Linked DNA regions of Sus scrofa. The protein of the gene in region 2 interacts with the protein of the main gene of each other region in a pairwise test. Links are inferred from orthologs where the notes say so. Each region holds a gene or a part of one and is shown on either strand. Other genes may lie near its edges.

Region 1 (5,122 bases), on a different chromosome or scaffold from region 2:
CTTAACTTGCTCTGCCACAAGAGAACTCTTCCAGGCTAAGCACTTCATAGGCATTATGCCCAGTTATCATTATAACCTTTTTATAAAGTAATAAAACAGGTTTAGTGAGGTTAAAATAACTTGCCTACTGTCCCACAACATGTAAATGACATGCTGATTTGATGCCAGCTCTGATTTCAATGTATGTGGGTTTTTTGGGTTTTGTTTTTGTTCTCTTACTCTTGTTATTTTTATCATGGACTGGGGAAAGCCTGGTGGTGCCAGAAGCAGCTAGATCAGACTAGGGTATGACTATAGAATTTTCCTGAGTCTTAGGGCAGCTGGAGAAAACACAGCTTACCGGGTGGATTTTCATCTGGAGCTGAATCACAGCAGGGCTAGTATCAGTATGGAGTGCAGAGGCTTAAGCGTGAGATCAAAGGAATTAGGCGGGAGTAAACTAAGGTGAGTTGAAGTGAGGGGTCAAGAGTTGACAGTGCAAAGTACACAACAGGAAATACATGCAAGGTATCAGGAAGGCAGCCAAAATTGTAAACAACATGTGGGGGGTTCATTCTGATTGTTTTTAACTGGCAGAAAATGGGCAGCTAACTTAAAGACTTGGGATAATAAGACAGTTCCTTTCACACATCTGTCTTTTCAGGGAAACTGAGCTCAAACTGACTTCCCATCTGAATCTTTCTTCATATTAACAAGTAATGACCAGCTGTATCTTTCTGGAAGAGAGGGGCTGTATCTGCCTGTCACATAGCTGCTTATCAGGCTAGGCTTCTGATGAAAGAAGTGCTCCCAGGTCGTGGAAATAGGAGACACAGTTCAGGCTTTTTCCAGGTCTATGGCTAACTCCGTGCCTGATGCTTTAGCGATGGGAACTCATGTTTCCTGGCAAAGCACGGCAGCTTTAGGACAGGAATCCCTGACATTCTCTTCTGCCAAAGGGAGCCTAGTGAAGCTGCAGACCGCTGAGATTATTTGGGGAATAGATGTGGGCATAGTATATTCATTTTTTTAAAGTGGATGGCTTAAACAGGGAGGCAGGGAGCCTTTTAATTGTAGGAGGTGGTATGATATTCCAGAAAACTGGGAAAGAATTTGCTGGTAATTTTACAAGTTGGCAGACTTGTTGAATTATCTGATGTGCAGTGCCAGTTCTGGGAGGAACAGATGTCCCTCGCACTATAAGGTAACATGCTCTGGAACCAAATTCCAAACGTTGCCCTCAGTCTGTTGTCCCAGATGATGGAAGAGAGAACTGAAGCTCTTGGTTTGGAACTGGAGGAGGTTTGTATGGATCCTGAGTGGGGGTTTCTAACAGTATTTCTATACCATTACACCCAGACCCATGACATTGAAGAAGTCAGCATTCACAGCTTCTAGGTTCATGATAGGTGGTAATGTGTTATTTTGTTGAGGTATGGATTTGAGTCATAATAGGTTGTAGGGATGGCACGTGGGAGTGGGTCACTCAACTAATAAATCAACCTAACCTACTCTGTGGCAGCTAAATCACATTGTTATTATTCTTTCTTAATTATGGAGAAAATTCTATGCTATAAGGCAGCATTTCCCAGAGTATGGTCTAGAGAACAATATCATTGTGTTATACGATAGTTTAAAAAAAAAAGTCTTGAAGTAATATTGAGTTAAAAAAGCTAAAGATATCCGTACTGCACGGTTCCACTATGTTTGTATCATGTGGCCTTGAGCCAGTTTTTCTGAGCTTTAGCTTCTTCATCTTTGAAATAGGGTCATAAAAAACAGTACATCATAGGGTCATTATGAAGGTTAAATGAGATTAGGTACGTGGAGCATCTAGCATGCTATCCAGCACATAGTAGGCACCAGATGTGTACTCTTTCCCTTCTAGTTGAAGGGAGTGAGATTGACTCAAGGCACATTGTGCAAATCTGCTACAGAATGTTTATCAGACTGTGAGGCAAGGCAAACTATGGGAAAACTCTGCAGTATGTATCTCTGAACTGACGCCCCTTCTTCTATGTGGGTGGAGAAAGAATTGATGACATTTGCAGAGCTTTTCTCAGCTTGCTGCATTGTCCTTAAAACCCAAGCTAACTTGCCCTCCTCCTCCTTATCCTGGATGGTTGACCATCTGCAGATCACGAGCCTGTGCAGGTGCAGCTGTAGGATTTGCACGTAGGAAGTGCTGAATTTATCCATGTGCCTCACCTTGCTAGATCCACCCTTTCTAATTTGGGGATAGACTTTGACATTGACATAAGGCAGCAGGGCACTGAGATCTCTGTGGTTCTACTTCATGAGCATATGTGGATCAAGGAGGAGGGAGAATTCATGGCATGGACTGCTTGTAGGAGGGAGTGTTTCAGGCCCAAAATATACTCTCCTAATAAGGCACTGCCATTTTTCAAATCATCTAGGCTTTCTTAGCTCCACCACTTCCCCACCCTAATCCACTCAGCTGACAGATCTTGGTGATTGTACTTATGGAATACTGCCCAAATGCATCTTGTTTCCATTTCCACCACCTGCTCCCTAGTTTAGGCTCCCCATAACCTCCACCAGGCAGTTTTGCAGTATCTTCCAAACTAGTTTCTCTGCCCTTTCCCCCCACTCCACTTAATCATTTTAGTTCCCTGCTCCAAAACATGCTTTGCTTCTCAGTGCTCATCAGAATGAAGTTCCCAGGTCTCACTTTGGCTCTGATGACATAATCATTCCCCAGTTTCCCTTTCCAAACCAGTTATTCTAATCCCCCTGTATTCTTCCACATGTTTTTTTTTTTTTTTTTTTTTTGCTTTTTTTAGGGCCTCATACATGGCATATGGAAGTTGCTAGGCTAAGGGTCGAATCCGAGCTACAGCCGCCGGCCTACACCACAGCCACAGCCATGCCAGATCCGAGCTGCTTTAGCGACCTATACCACAGCTCACGGCAACAACACCCCATCCTTAATGCCCTGAGCGGGGCCAGGGATTGAACCCGCATCCTCATGGATACTAGTTGGGTTCATTACTGCTGAGCCACAACAGGAACTCCTCTCCTACAATTTTAACCTAAGGATGAGAGGAAAGAGAACTAAATTTTATTTAAAACTTTTTGGTGCTAAGCTAAGTCAGAATTTTATACACTACATATATGATCTCATTTAATCCTTGCATTAGCCTCTAATGGCAGTATTCTCATTTTACAGAAGAGGAAACTCACTCAGAGAGTTTCTTTCTAATACACTGAAGTTCTTGTCCTTTCCCTTGCTTTTCAGCCTTTGTTAAGACTGCCCTTTTGCCTGGTAGCCTTTTCCCCCCATTTCCACATATCTGTGCATCTATCCAGGACCCTATCAAATGCCATCTCCCCTCACAAAATCCTGTTTCCCTCCAACTGGAGTGACTGTCTCTTCACCTCTGTCAGACTTAGTCTATAACCTGTTTATGATATTACTTTCTGTCTTGACTGTTATTTACCTACATGTCTTGTTTTCTTTCCTAAAGTTTGAACATTTGAAGGGCAGGATTTGTGTCCTGAGAAACCTTATTATCAATCTAGTACAATACATGATACTTAGATAGATAGGTTGGTAGGTGAGTAAATAGGAGGACAGATGAAAGAGAAATACATGTGATTTTCTACCTAATGTTTTGCTGATCACCTAAAGCTAAACATCATTAATTTTCTGTTTCTGTATTTGATTCCTAGGACCCCAAATATGACATGATAGACTCTATGTAACACAATAAAATAAAAACCTCCATGCTTTTGTTCACACAGTGATGTTTGCTTAAAATGCTTTTATCCCTCATTGCCTTGTGCTTTAAAGACATCTCAGGAGTGTGCTTCTCGGAAGCCTTCTCTAGTTCCTCTGGGCAGAATCTGTTCCTCCATTCACTGCGTTCCTGCAGAACCTTGTATATAATCCTTTCCTGAACGTATTTTTTCTGTGCTTTTCTCCTAATATAAAGTATGAGTTGTAGACTTTAAAAAAAAAAAATGATCACTAACATTTAGGAAGCATACTGCTTTCCAAGTGCTATACTAAGTGCATCATATTATTTAATCCTTCCCTAAAACATATAAAGTAGACATCATTATTATTTAAACTTTATAGGTGAGTGATGGGGCAGCTGAGTTTGGGGAAGTTTAAGTTACTTCCTTAAGGTCACATAACTAGTATCAGAGACTCTAGAACCTGAAGTCTCACCCACTCATGCAGCACTTAGTTTCCCCTTGTAGTACCGTCAGCTAACACGGAATGGATTTGAGTAAATACTTATTAAATAAGTCAGCGACTGAATGAGTGATGGGAGCCATTCTCTACACGTGTCTTGAGTGCGTTAACTCATGGAGGCGGGGAATAATGGCTTCTTTTTCTCTTTAGCAGGACTTGGCCCTCTGGAGCATGTACACTAGGCTGTTCAGTCCTGGGCTGTGCTAGCAGCCCCTTCACAGGAAGAGCAATGGCTGCAGCCGCAGCCTCTCACCTGAACCTGGATGCCCTCCGGGAAGTGCTGGAATGCCCCATCTGCATGGAGTCCTTCACAGAGGAGCAGCTGCGGCCCAAGCTCCTGCACTGTGGCCATACCATCTGCCGCCAGTGCCTGGAGAAGCTGCTGGCCAGCAGCATCAACGGCGTGCGCTGTCCCTTTTGCAGTAAGATTACCCGCATAACCAGCCTGAGCCAGCTGACGGACAACCTGACCGTGCTGAAGATCATTGACACGGCTGGGCTCAGCGAGGCCGTGGGGCTGCTCATGTGCCGGGCCTGCGGGCGGCGGCTGCCCCGGCAGTTCTGCCGGAGCTGCAGCGTGGTGTTATGTGAGCCCTGCCGGGAGGCGGACCACCAGCCTCCCGGCCACTGCACGCTCCCTGTCAAAGAGGCCGCCGAGGAGCGGCGCCGGGACTTTGGAGAGAAGTTGGCCCGTCTACGGGAGCTCATGGGGGAGCTGCAGCGGCGGAAGGTGGCCTTGGAAGGTGTCTCCAAGGACCTGCAGGCACGGTATAAAGCCGTTCTCCAGGAGTACGGGCACGAGGAGCGCCGGGTCCAGGAGGAGCTGGCTCGCTCTCGGAAGTTCTTCACAGGCTCTTTGGCTGAGGTTGAAAAGTCCAACAGTCAAGTGGTGGAGGAGCAGAGTTACCTGCTCAACATCGC
Region 2 (7,141 bases):
TGAGTTTTGGTGACGGGAACTGAGGTTGGAAAGGCTCTGTCCCTCGGAGCTCACTGAACCGTCACCTCCTCAGAGAGCCCTCCCAGGCCAAGCTCATCTGACGTAGCTTTTCATCCCCTATCACCTCACTTTGTTGTCACACCTGCCAAGTGCTTTCCCTACTAGGTCTCTCTTTTGTCAGTGGTCCCCACATTACAATGAAAAGCAAACTGCGTCACTTCCCACACCCGACTCCCCGCACCCAGTCTGCTCCAGTCACTCTCCCCCAAACCTCCAGGCAAGGTCTTTGTACCTTGAATCTTCACTTGTCACCTCAGGGAGGCCTTCTTTAACCTATAATGTATCTCCAGGTCTTTCTGTGCAGAAGGGTTAAGGTAGTAGGCTCTCCTTAGGGAGGCTGGCTCACACAGTGGCCCTTGGCTGGCATCTAGATACCTGGATTTCAGCAGGTCCTCACTGCTCCCCGACAGGGCAGTCTTGTGTCTAAGCTGTTTGTGCAAACAATGTTGTTTATGCTGAACATCCGCTTTCCTTCTGGGACTCTGGAATTCTGGTCCATGCCAGACAGATGGTGCTTATGTGGCCACCCCCCCACCCCACCCCCGTCCCAGTAATAGTCCTGGGTCTGAGTGTCATCATGACCTTCCCTGGCAGACACTGTACCCGTGTGTGTCACGGCTCACTGCTGGGGGCATTTTATTTTTTTTTAATTTATTTATTTTTTGTCTTTTTTCTATTTTTTGGGCCGCTCCCACGGCATATGGAGGTTCCCAGGCTAGGGGTCGAATCGGAGCTGTAGCCACTGGCCTACGCCAGAGCCACAGCAACACGGGATCCAAGCTGCGTCTGCAACCTACATCACAGCTCACGGCAATGCCGTATCATTAACCCACTGAGCAAGGGCAGGGACTGAACCCGCAACCTCATGGTTCCTAGTCGGATTCATTAACCACTGCGCCACGACGGGAACTCCTCACTGGGGGCATTTTAATGCAACCTGGGGCGAGGCCACTGGGAGAGGACTCTGGAAGCTTGTGCCTGGTTTTCCTTGGGACTTCACCCTATGTGCCTTCTTCCTTTGATAATTTTTTCTTTTTCTTTTCTTTTTCTTTTTTTAGGGCCTCAAGTACATACAGAGGTTCCCAGGCTAGGGGTCAAATTGGAGCTGCAGCTGCCAGCCTACACCACAGCCACAGCAATGCCATATCCGAGACGTGTCTGCAACCTACACCACAGCTCACAGTAACACCAGATCCTTAACCCCTGAGCGGGGCCAGGGATCGAACCTGTGTCCTCATAGATATTAGGTTCATTTCCACTGAGCCACAACAGGAACTCTACCTTTGCTGATTTTGCTTTATAGCCTTTCACAACAATAACCTCAGCTGAGCGTACATTTTTTTTTCTGGCCACATCCATGCTCATGGAAGTTCTCGGGTCACAGCAGCGACTCAAGCCCAGCAGCGACAATGCCAGATTCCACGTAGAACTGGAACTGCTGAGTCCTGAGTCCTCCTGGCACATCACTGAACATGAGCGTGGTGTCTTCTCCTCCTCAGAACTCATGCCCACTGGCCAATGGCGCTATTTATCTTGCTTATTGTCTCCCCCTGCCAGGGGCCCTTCCCCCACCTTCTTGGTCCCTGGAGGATCCCACATCACCCTGCACACATGCACAGAAGACCCTGGGAGAATATTTGCTGAACAACTGTAACAGCTTTATTTCCAAAGCTGGAGTCCCTCCCTGGGCTTGTAATGGGAAGGGGGCCTTTGGCAAGAGCAGAGCCATGCGGGATGGGGCTGAGAAGGGACGGGGCAGCTGGCTTGGGAGGCCGACATGTCCTTGAAGACACCTCACACAGGTTCCATCTGCAGCTCCTCCCCGTCCACAGCCTCTATCTGGTGGAAGGCGGCGTGGGAGCCGATGACCACGAGGGTGGCTCCTGGGGGAAAACGGGCAGCTCAGGGCCTGCTGCCTCCCCGGCCCCCACTGCCCACCGCGCCACCGAGACCCTGTACTCACTCACCTAGGACCCAGAAGACGGCGGATCCCGCGCCAGCCAGCCAGAAGAAGGGAAAGGAGACGCCCCCGGCCAGGGCATACTGATGGGCGGGGCTCACCTCTCGGCCTGGGGGGGCAGATGGCATTGGGACAGCTGTTCCACACCTGTCCCCTCTCCCAGAGTAACCCCCAAAATGCCTTATGCCAAGGCCCTCCAAGTCCGGCCCCAGCCATTTCCCCAGCGTCCCCACCCACTGTCCCCTGAAACAGTGCACCTTCCTCAGTAATCCCCCCCACCGCCCTCCACCCTTCAACTTTACTTCTGCTAGGAAGCTCCCAGACTCTCCCTCCCCAAACTACAGCTTTCCTGCTCCAACCTGCCCTCGCATAGACCTGGGTTTTCCAACTGGCATCCCAAAGGCCCAGGCTGACACCTAGACATGTTTTTTGAGTTTGCATATTATTCCACAATAATTTTTTTGCTTTTTAGGGCCGCACCCACAGCACATGGAAGTTTCCAGGCTAGGGGTCGAATCAGATCCACAGCCACAACAACGCGAGATCCGAGACACGTCTGCAACCTACACCACAGCTCACGGCAACACCAGATCCTTAACACCCTGAGCGAGGCCAGGGGTCGAACCCGCATCCTCGTGGAACCTAGTCAGGCTTGTTAACCGCTGAGCCACGATTTGTTGATTTGCTGCTGACATACAGACAGAATGATTTCACACAGCAATACAGTCGGCCCTCTGTATCCGCAGATGGGCACCCGTGGGTCACTGTACTACATCATTGCTACATCAGCAACTTGAGCATCCTCGGATTTGGGTATCCAAAATCTGGGGGCTCCTAGAAAAGCTGAGAGATGGCTGTATAGACATCTGGCTTCTTGTGGCAGATTGGAAAGTCAGACTTGCAAACCCTGGCGGCAGCAGTGGCTGAAGACAAGTTGTGACTATGCTCTGGACGCTCCCTCTGTGCCCTGTGCTCGCCTGACATGCTCCTCCACCCAGCCCACCCTTACCAGATACATAACTGGCAGGCTTCTGATGGATTCTGTCTTAGGTCTACCTGTTTCTTTGATTCCAACTCCCCCTTATCTCCACTCCAAACCTTGAGTTTCCCTTAGTTGGGAACTCAGGCCCTCTTTCTTCCCAGTGGTGCTTGGTGCCAGTCTAGGACCACATGAGCCACAGGCCTCAGCTTCCCTCTGAGAAGTCCCAAGATTTTTCTACTCCCATCCCAGGAAGCACGAAAGGGGGAGGACAGATTTAGGCTAGAGTAAAGTCGCCACCTGGCGTCCAATGTGGGTACTTGCAGCTGATGCTTTTGGCAGATGAGGGAGAGAGAAGGAGGAGGTTTAAAAGGCCAGCGGCTAGGTGGAGTGGTTCTTGGATATCTTCTGGGTTTGGGAAACAGCAATTTGGGGGGACTGAGAGTGGATAGGAGCATCAGGTGTGGGTATGGGGAATCTACTGTAGGTCTAGGATTGGGCAGACTTGGGTTCAAAAGGACTCAGGTTTGAGGTCTAAGGCTTGGATTCAAAGAGCCAGGATCAGAGGAGTTTGGGCAGATTTCTCACCAAACAGCACAAACTTGGACTGCAACGTGCGCAGATAGAGGATGTAACAGGCGCCAAAGAAGACAGCCAGAGCTACCAGCAGCATGGGCGATGTTACCCTGGAGGAGGGCAGGGAGGCACAGTCAGGCCGCTGGGGCTGCGTCAGACACGAAGGCCCTGACCTTCTACACCTGGGGACGTCCTTAGGACCACGCAAGTCTAGGTCATGTTTGGTCCCCCTGCATCCCAGCCAGGCTGATGGAGTAGGGACCTGGTCCTCTGGGGTAAAGATCCCACAGAGCTATCCCATGGGGACAGGGCCTGGCCAGTGCAGACATGGCAGCCTGGCGGGGGCGGGGCCTGGCTGAGGGGGGCTGTTCTGGCCAGAGAGACACTCACACGCAGTACAGGATGAGGCCCAGGAACACAAACACATAGTTGCTTTGGTAGTATTCCACGTTGCGTACGAGGCGCTGGCAAAGCTCGCCCAGGTTGCGGGGACGCGAAAAACGCCGCTGGTCCACGAAGGAGCCCCAGGGGCGGATGGTAGCACGGCGCCGCTCCAGCCACTCACGGCCCGCGCCAGAGGGAATCAGTTTCGGCAGCAGGGTCCTGGGGGGTGCGGGACCAGGTCAGCGGTAGACCGGGTTGGAGCCCGGACCCCCGAGCAAGAAGGGGGCCGAGGGGAGCGGGACTCCGGGGTTCTGGGGGGCGGGGGAGATATGGTCCAGGACTCCTGGATTCCAGGGGAGGAAGGGATTGAGCCGGGGCCAGGAGTCCGGATTCCTAACTCCCCAGGGATGAGGGGCGAGAAGCCATGACTCTCGGGTCTAGGTCAGGGGGGCTAGATTAGACTTGCTTACGTGGCGCTCAGCCCTTCCGCCTCGGCATCCTTCTGCTGGTCCTTCTCGGCCGCCATGTCTGTGTTGTGAGGGGAAGAACCGCTGTAACGAGGCTGGGGCCCTCCACACCCCACGGGCCCCGCCCGAAACCGGCCTCACTCGAAGTGGCCGGAGGGGACGTGGCGCCGTTCCGGCGCCGCTGGGGGCGGTAGGTTTGTCACGGAGTATTATGGGAGTTGTAGTCCTGACGATGTCGGGGAGAGTAGGCGCCCTGGTGGCTGCATGGCTCGAGGAGCACCTTGGGAGATGTAGTCGCGTAAAGCGACGTGGGTGCCTCGGGGGCATTGTGGGAGTTGTAGTTTCAAAGGTAGGACGTGCGAGGTCAGAGAAAGTGAGCTGTCAGGAGTCAGGGTGTCGGGGGAGTGTAAAGGCAGAAGACGTCGTGTACTACCCCGAGCAGTCTCTGTACAGTGGGGACTGTGTAGGGCTGTCATTCTGACTCTAAGGATATTAAAAAAAACCGTGATTAAACACTCAGATGTTCTGATTTATCAGATCTGGGGTGAGACCCATTCACTGGCTCTTTTTTTTTTTTTGTGGCAGGCAGGGAGTGGGGTGGGTGGGGACATGCTACGTTTTCTGGCTAAGGATCGAACCCTAGCCACAGCAGCAACCCTAGCACAGCAGTGACAGTGGGGGATCCTGAGCCACCAGGGAACTCATGGACCACATTTGAATAGTGAGACTGTAGAATATTTGTAGGAATCCATTCCATCCTTCTTCAAAGGCTAGTGAGGGGGCCATGGTTGCTGAAGGGGGTTATCTAAGATGGGGAGCAAAGCTCCCCCACAACTCTGGGCTCCTAAGGATGGATGGGTTAGGATTAGGACCTCAAGGATGCCCCTGCTATGGAGAGGGTAAAGGGAAGTAGGGGAAAGTAAAGGGGTGAGTTGTTTTTTTTTTTTTTTAATCTTTTTTTATTCCAGTTTTATTGAGGGGAATGAGGGATTTTAATTTTTAATTTTTATTTATTTATTTATTGTCATTTTAGGGCCACACCCGTGGCATGTGGAGGTTCCCAGGCTAGGGGTCGAATCAGAGCTGCAGCTGCTGGCCCACACCACAGCCACAGCAAGGCGGGATCCGAGGCACATCTGTGACCTACACCACAGCTCACAGCAACGCCAGACACTTAACCCACTGAGCAAGGCCAAGGATCAAATACGCGTCCCCATGGATACTTGTTGGGTTTGTTACCACTGAGCCATGATGGGAACTCTGAGAATTTTTAAAAGACGGAGTAGTTACAACTAAAAGAACTGGATTTCTTGGGTCAGAGGTCAAAATCCAGCCTGTGTTGATTTCATCAACTCCCTGTCTTCATTGGACAGTGAAGATCATCCTGGTTCCACACTCATGGGTTAAGGTTGGGTTGAATGATCCATGTGAAGTGCTTGAAAGAGTCTTGCTATTTTATAACCACTCAATAAATGGTGATGTTGTTTTTGCCACTACATTGTCATGAATGTTATGATTATTTCTAGAGTTCAGCCTTCTCAAATATGTCTGTAACGTAGTTGCTGCTGCTGGCCCCTTGGATGTCCCAAAGAGGGACTGGTGTCTGCCACGTGGGCCGCCTGTCTCTCCCCGGGTCCCCACAGCCATGGTTCTCTCAGTCTTTGCTCCTGAATGAGCTGTGGAAAACCGGCCAGAATTCTAAAGAGATGCCCTAGAATATGGCCTCAAGAAAATTATGTGGGGAGTTCCCGTCATGGCGCAGTGGTTAATGAATCTGACTAGGAACCTGCCCTTGCTCAGTGGGTTAACGATCCGGCGTTGCCGTGAGCTGTGGTGTAGGTCGCAGATGTGGCTCGGATCCTGTGTTGCTGTGGCTCTGGCGTAGGCCGGCGGCTACAGCTCCGATTGGACCCCTAGCCTGGGAACCTCCATATGCCTCGGGAGCAGCCCAAGAAAAAGGCAAAAAGACAAAAAAAAAAAAAAAAAAAAAAAAAAAAAGAGGAGTTCCCGTCGTGGCGCAGTGGTTAACGAATCTGACTAGGAACCATGAGGTTGCGGGTTCAGTCCCTGCCCTTGCTCAGTGGGTTAACGATCTGGCGTTGCTGTGAGCTGTGGTGTAGGTTGCAGACGCAGCTTGGATCCCGCGTTGCTGTGGCTCTGGCGTAGGCCGGTGGCTGCAGCTCCGATCTGACCCCTAGCCTGGGAACCTCCATATGCCGCGGGAGCGGCCCAAGAAATAGCAACAATAACAACAACAACAAAAAGACAAAAAAAAAAAAAGAAAAAAAAAAAAAGAAAATTATGTGGAGGTGTTCCATGAGGTTGTGGGTTTGATCCCTGGCCTCGCTCAGTGGGTTAAGGCTCTGGCATTGCTGTGAGCTGTGGTATAGGTCGAAGACGAGGCTCAGACCTGGCATTTCAGTGGCTGTGGCCGTGGCTGTGGCTGTGGCCATGAACTGTAGCTCTAATTTGATCCCTAGCCTGGGAACTTCCATATTCTGTGGGTGCAGTCCTAAAAAAGAAAGAAAGAAAGGAAAAACAAGTGTGTGTGGCAGTATCCAGAAGCCTGGGCTCCCTTACACAGACTGGTCCTCATTTTCCCAGGCTGGGTGGGGCTGAAGGAGAACACCCACGTGGGACATCAGGTAGCTCTTAACTCTGTCTTCAGGGATCAGTGCCCTTTCAGACTTGGGCTTTGAGGCCTGCTGGAGGGCT
Region 3 (4,173 bases), on a different chromosome or scaffold from region 2:
GGCTTTTCCTGTGGTTTTGGCCGTGGTGTGCAGTGACTTGAGGTGGGATCTCAGTTCCCAGACTAGGGATGGAGCCCAGGCTGCAGCAGTGAAGCCACTGAGTCCTAACCACTGGGCCACCAGGGAGCTCCCTGTCCTTGCTTTTTCTCACTAAAGTGAGGTGAGAGGAGCAGACCTGTGAAGCACGAGGCTACAGAAGGGACACGTGTGAGGTCGGGTCATCCAGGAGGGCCCCTGACCCCACTGGTGTCCCACCTGCTCCCCGGAAGCGTCCAGCAGCGCTTCACCTGTTGGTGCCCAAGACCCCAGAGTGCTCGGCTTTGGTCGGATGCAGGCCTGTAGGGGAGCTGGGCGAGATGCTAAGTCTGTGGTGACAAGGAAGTGAGCCACAGCCACGGCTCCCATGGGGACAGAGACGCACTGGCCTCCCTGTCTCTACGAGGTGGGGAGCTGGCCCTCCCTCTGCAGTGACAGGCCTGGCCCAAGGGCTCCCGGGCAGCCCCCCTCCCAGGAAGCTCCAGGGCTCCCGCGTCGGATGGTAAACAAAGTCCTGCCTAGTGGGTTCCCGTCGACTCTGTCCAGCATCTCGTGGCGTTCTCCTTCCCTGCCACCTACTTTCCCATCAAGGCCACCACTTCGGTTTGGTCCCAAGCCCCTCTGGCCGGGCTCAAAAACCTGCGTGTCAGGCCAGCGTGAGCCCCACAGACACGGGCTTTTCCTTTATTCTCCTTCAGTCCTCAAGGCAGAGAGCTTTGCTTCAGCAGGAAGGAGACCAGAGACAGGTGAGACCCCCTCCCCAGCCCCCAGCCCCACCAGCTTCAGGAGGGCACAGCTGGTGCAGGCACCCCAGGAGCTGGGTGCAGTGGCAGCCAGGGGACACCCTCGGCTCTGGGCCAGGCGGGCGCCACGGAGGACCTCGGCTCCCCCAGTGAGGACAGGGTTCTCCTGGGGCCTCCACTCGCCCGGCTGGTGGGGAGCGGGAAACAGCCTCTCCTGAAGCGTGAAGTGGGCCCCACTCCAGGCTACAGCCGGACGAGCAGAGCGGGCACAGCGTTGAAAACGCTGGCCTTTAAGTCAGCAGAGAGCCGTGTGCCACAGGTGACTCCAGCCACCGGGAGTGAAACAGACACAGTGGCCACAGCCCAGCAGCTTTGCGATGCCCACAACTGGCACTAAAGAAATTGCGACTCTCTCTTGGGACAGGAAAGCCGAGCAGTCTCGCCCCTAGGGGGACAGCAAGAGCCCGGCTCTGTCTGTAACTCGCTGCTTGTGACTGGGGGTCGGGGCAGCCCCAGGCCGAAGAGCCAAGTGCGAGTGCAGGCGGCCCCGGGCTCCAGCGCTGTCGCCCAGCCCGTGCCTACCTGCACCCTCGTGTTCTGGCTCAAGCAAGAGAAAGGGGCTCTCCAAGCACCGGGGGCAGCAGCTGTTCAGGGGCCTGCAGCCCACGGAAGAGCGCACAGCCCAGGTCATCAATGTCCTCGTCCCGCAGGCCGCCCAGGAGGTCCACGCGGTGGTTGAAGTGGCAGGGCAGGCTGGCCCGCTCCAGGCTGCCGATGAGAGACTCCAGGGCCTGCAGGAAGCGCTCCCCCAGGGCCTCCTCGGCCCAGTCGGCCGCCTCCTCCCCCAGGCGCAGGACCACCTGGGTCAGGTGGCTGCGGCCCAGCCGCCCCAGCACCGGGTGGCGGTGGCAGACACCGCAGAGCAGCAGCAGCAGCCTCCGGCGGGTCCCAGCATCGCCCTCATCCAGGGCCCGCAGCCTGGCGGCCTCCGCAGAATACAAGTCCTGCAGCCAGAGGTTCCCTGCCAGCCCCTCCAAGGGCCAGGCCAGCAGGAGGCGCTCTCCAGCCGGGGCGCCGGCGACAGCGAGGAGCACAGCCACGGTGAGCTCCAGACGCTCGTGCTGGACCTCGAGCAGCAGCTCCTCTGAGGCCACGCGTGGCCGGATCAGACACCCGAGGAGGCTGCCGATGGCCGGCCAGTTGACGGAGGCGGTCAGGGCCTTGCGGAGCAGCTCCAGCAGGACGCGGGAGGAGAGGTAGCCGCCCACCAGGAAGCGGTCCCAGGGGCTGCTCCCACGAGGGCGGAACTCCAGCTGAGTTCTGCGCACGGCCCAGCAGCGAGGGTCCTGAGCCACAGTGTCCACACCGGGCACCAGGCTCCACAGGCCCGGCTCCAGTGCCAAGGGCACCAGGAGACGCACGGGGTCAGTGGCTCCTGCCTGCAGCCCATCGTAGAGCGGCCCGCCAGGCACCAGTGCCCCGAAGGGCAGCTCTGGGAACTTGTTCCGCAAGTAGGCCTGCAGCTCCAGGGCAATATCACCGGCCAGCTGCTTGGCCAGAGTCACGTGAGCCACCGGGACGGTCACGTAGTCCCGCTCGAATGCCAGCAGCTTCTCCTGGAACGTCAGGCACAAGGATGGCGCTGGGGAGCTGAGCTGAGGCGCCTTCTGGGGATCTGCGTCTGCGGGCACCTCTGCAGAGTGAAGGGGCCGGGGGGTGTCAGTGGGACCCTGCCCAGCCAGCAGCTGACTCTGCGACGGCCCGGGGCCTCGCTCCCCTCGCCTGTGATGGGACCTCCTGAGAAAGCACTGCGCTCGGGCTCTCATGCACAGCGAGCTCGGTGACAAATTCCCCAAGGTCCCCAGCACCCTGAGGCTAACTAAAACAGCTTCAACAGGGTGGGACACGGGCCCGGTGCTCAGCTTCCCCATCAGAGGGCCCCCACTGTCGCAACGCTGCCACCTCGCTCCAGCGCCACCCCTGGGGTCCCCACGTCCTGATGGTTGGAGCCTCAGTCCCCCAGGAGGAGGAAGGGCAGAGAAACACGTCACTAAAATTCAGGGAGCCCAAGGCCGGGGGGGAGCCAGGCCCCTCGTGGGTCATTCGGTGAGTCAGTGGCAGAGCCTGGGCTGCGTCTCCAGAACACGACCACCAAATAAGGGGCCCACCCAGGTCAGACGGGAGGCGTCAGCTCACCTGGGGCAGAGGGTGAGGGGGCCCGGAGTGGCACCGACTGGCTGAGGGCGGCGGGTGGGGGCCGACGCTGGAGGCACGGCGTGGCCTTGAGCAGGCTCAGTTCCTTCCAGCTCTCCTCCAGGCACGTGGCGTCCCCCTTGGCATCAGCCTCATCCTGAGAGCTGGTGGCCCTGTCGATGAGCTGCAGGCAGAGTGACATGGATGAGGGCATCTGAAGCCCAGGCAGCCGCAGCAGAGCCAAGGGCAAAGCGATCTAGGCTGGTGGGGCAGAGGCAGGTGTAGCCTCGGGCACTCCCACCACCCCTGGCCCACTCTGGCCAGCCCCACCGTACCCGCTTCACAGCCAGCGTGGCAATGCCCAGCACGGCAGCCCCGCCCACACCCAGCACCAGGCGGGCATTGGCCAGGAGAAAGTCCACAGCGCTGCCCAGCGCCTCGCCGTCACGCCGCTTGCCCCGATTCTGGGAGAACTCTGCCATGGTTGGTCCACCTGTAAGAGAGCCAGGGCACAGTGTAAGAGAGCCAGGGCACAGTGACTGCTCAGCTGGGGTGGGGGGGGGGCATGGCCAGCCTGTCAGCAGGACAGCAGGGTGACATCATGCCAGGGTCACTGAGTCAGGGGGCTTCCTGAGAACTTCTGAGAATGGGGCCACTTGCAGGGTTTCCTGGGAGGCCTCCCTGCCCAAGTGCCCCACCCAAACCTGCAAACAACCAGCCCCCCGGGTCTCAGAGGGAAGGCCCTGAGGCCCACGGCAGGGCAGGGAAGGGAGGCCACATCCATCCCACCCTCAGGACCCCCGACGTCGCCAGAGACCGTGAATGAGATGGATCTCACTGCCACCACCCCCACTTTGCAGAGAATCAGGTGGCTGACCCACACGGTGAGTGCAAAGCCTCTAGACCCTCACCCTCCCCACGGTCAGGTCCCAGGGGTGGCCTCGTCCTGGTTTCTGACCAGGGCTGGCAAAGCTGGAGGAAACCAAGGCCCAGAGAAGGCCACAGCTTGGGGTCCTAGCAGCTTGCCCTGAACCCCTCTCAGACCTTTGGGGTCACCTCAGTGAAGCTCAGGGGGCCTCAGCTATAACCCCCCACCCGCCAGTCTCAGCAGGGCAGCCCCCAGAGGCAGAACTGTCGAGTCTGAGAAAGCGAGGTCGCTGCCCCGGGGGTGGGGGCAGGAGCTACCTGCAACAGGTATGTG

What was found.
Region 1: the proteins of RABAC1 (region 2) and TRIM32 interact in binary tests that used the Homo sapiens proteins (3 or more experiments, as listed by UniProt). The two-hybrid records come from large-scale screens. The link is inferred for Sus scrofa from reciprocal best matches to the Homo sapiens genes RABAC1 and TRIM32.
Region 3: the proteins of RABAC1 (region 2) and MIEF2 interact in binary tests that used the Homo sapiens proteins (3 or more experiments, as listed by UniProt). The two-hybrid records come from large-scale screens. The link is inferred for Sus scrofa from reciprocal best matches to the Homo sapiens genes RABAC1 and MIEF2.

Annotation. Positions count from the first base shown.
Region 1 is NC_010443.5:257,059,496-257,064,617, forward strand, and holds part of TRIM32 (E3 ubiquitin-protein ligase TRIM32), read left to right. Parts: intron 1-4,351; coding exon 4,352-5,122. UniProt on the Homo sapiens protein: E3 ubiquitin ligase that plays a role in various biological processes including neural stem cell differentiation, innate immunity, inflammatory resonse and autophagy.
Region 2 is NC_010448.4:49,930,932-49,938,072, reverse strand, and holds RABAC1 (prenylated Rab acceptor protein 1), read right to left. Parts: upstream 4,635-7,141; 5' UTR 4,486-4,634; coding exon 4,430-4,485; intron 4,179-4,429; coding exon 3,966-4,178; intron 3,686-3,965; coding exon 3,588-3,685; intron 2,130-3,587; coding exon 2,028-2,129; intron 1,944-2,027; coding exon 1,855-1,943; 3' UTR 1,697-1,854; downstream 1-1,696. UniProt on the Homo sapiens protein: General Rab protein regulator required for vesicle formation from the Golgi complex. May control vesicle docking and fusion by mediating the action of Rab GTPases to the SNARE complexes.
Region 3 is NC_010454.4:60,470,004-60,474,176, forward strand, and holds the end of MIEF2 (mitochondrial dynamics protein MID49), read right to left. Parts: intron 3,466-4,173; coding exon 3,308-3,465; intron 3,157-3,307; coding exon 2,976-3,156; intron 2,473-2,975; coding exon 1,382-2,472; 3' UTR 642-1,381; downstream 1-641. UniProt on the Homo sapiens protein: Mitochondrial outer membrane protein involved in the regulation of mitochondrial organization.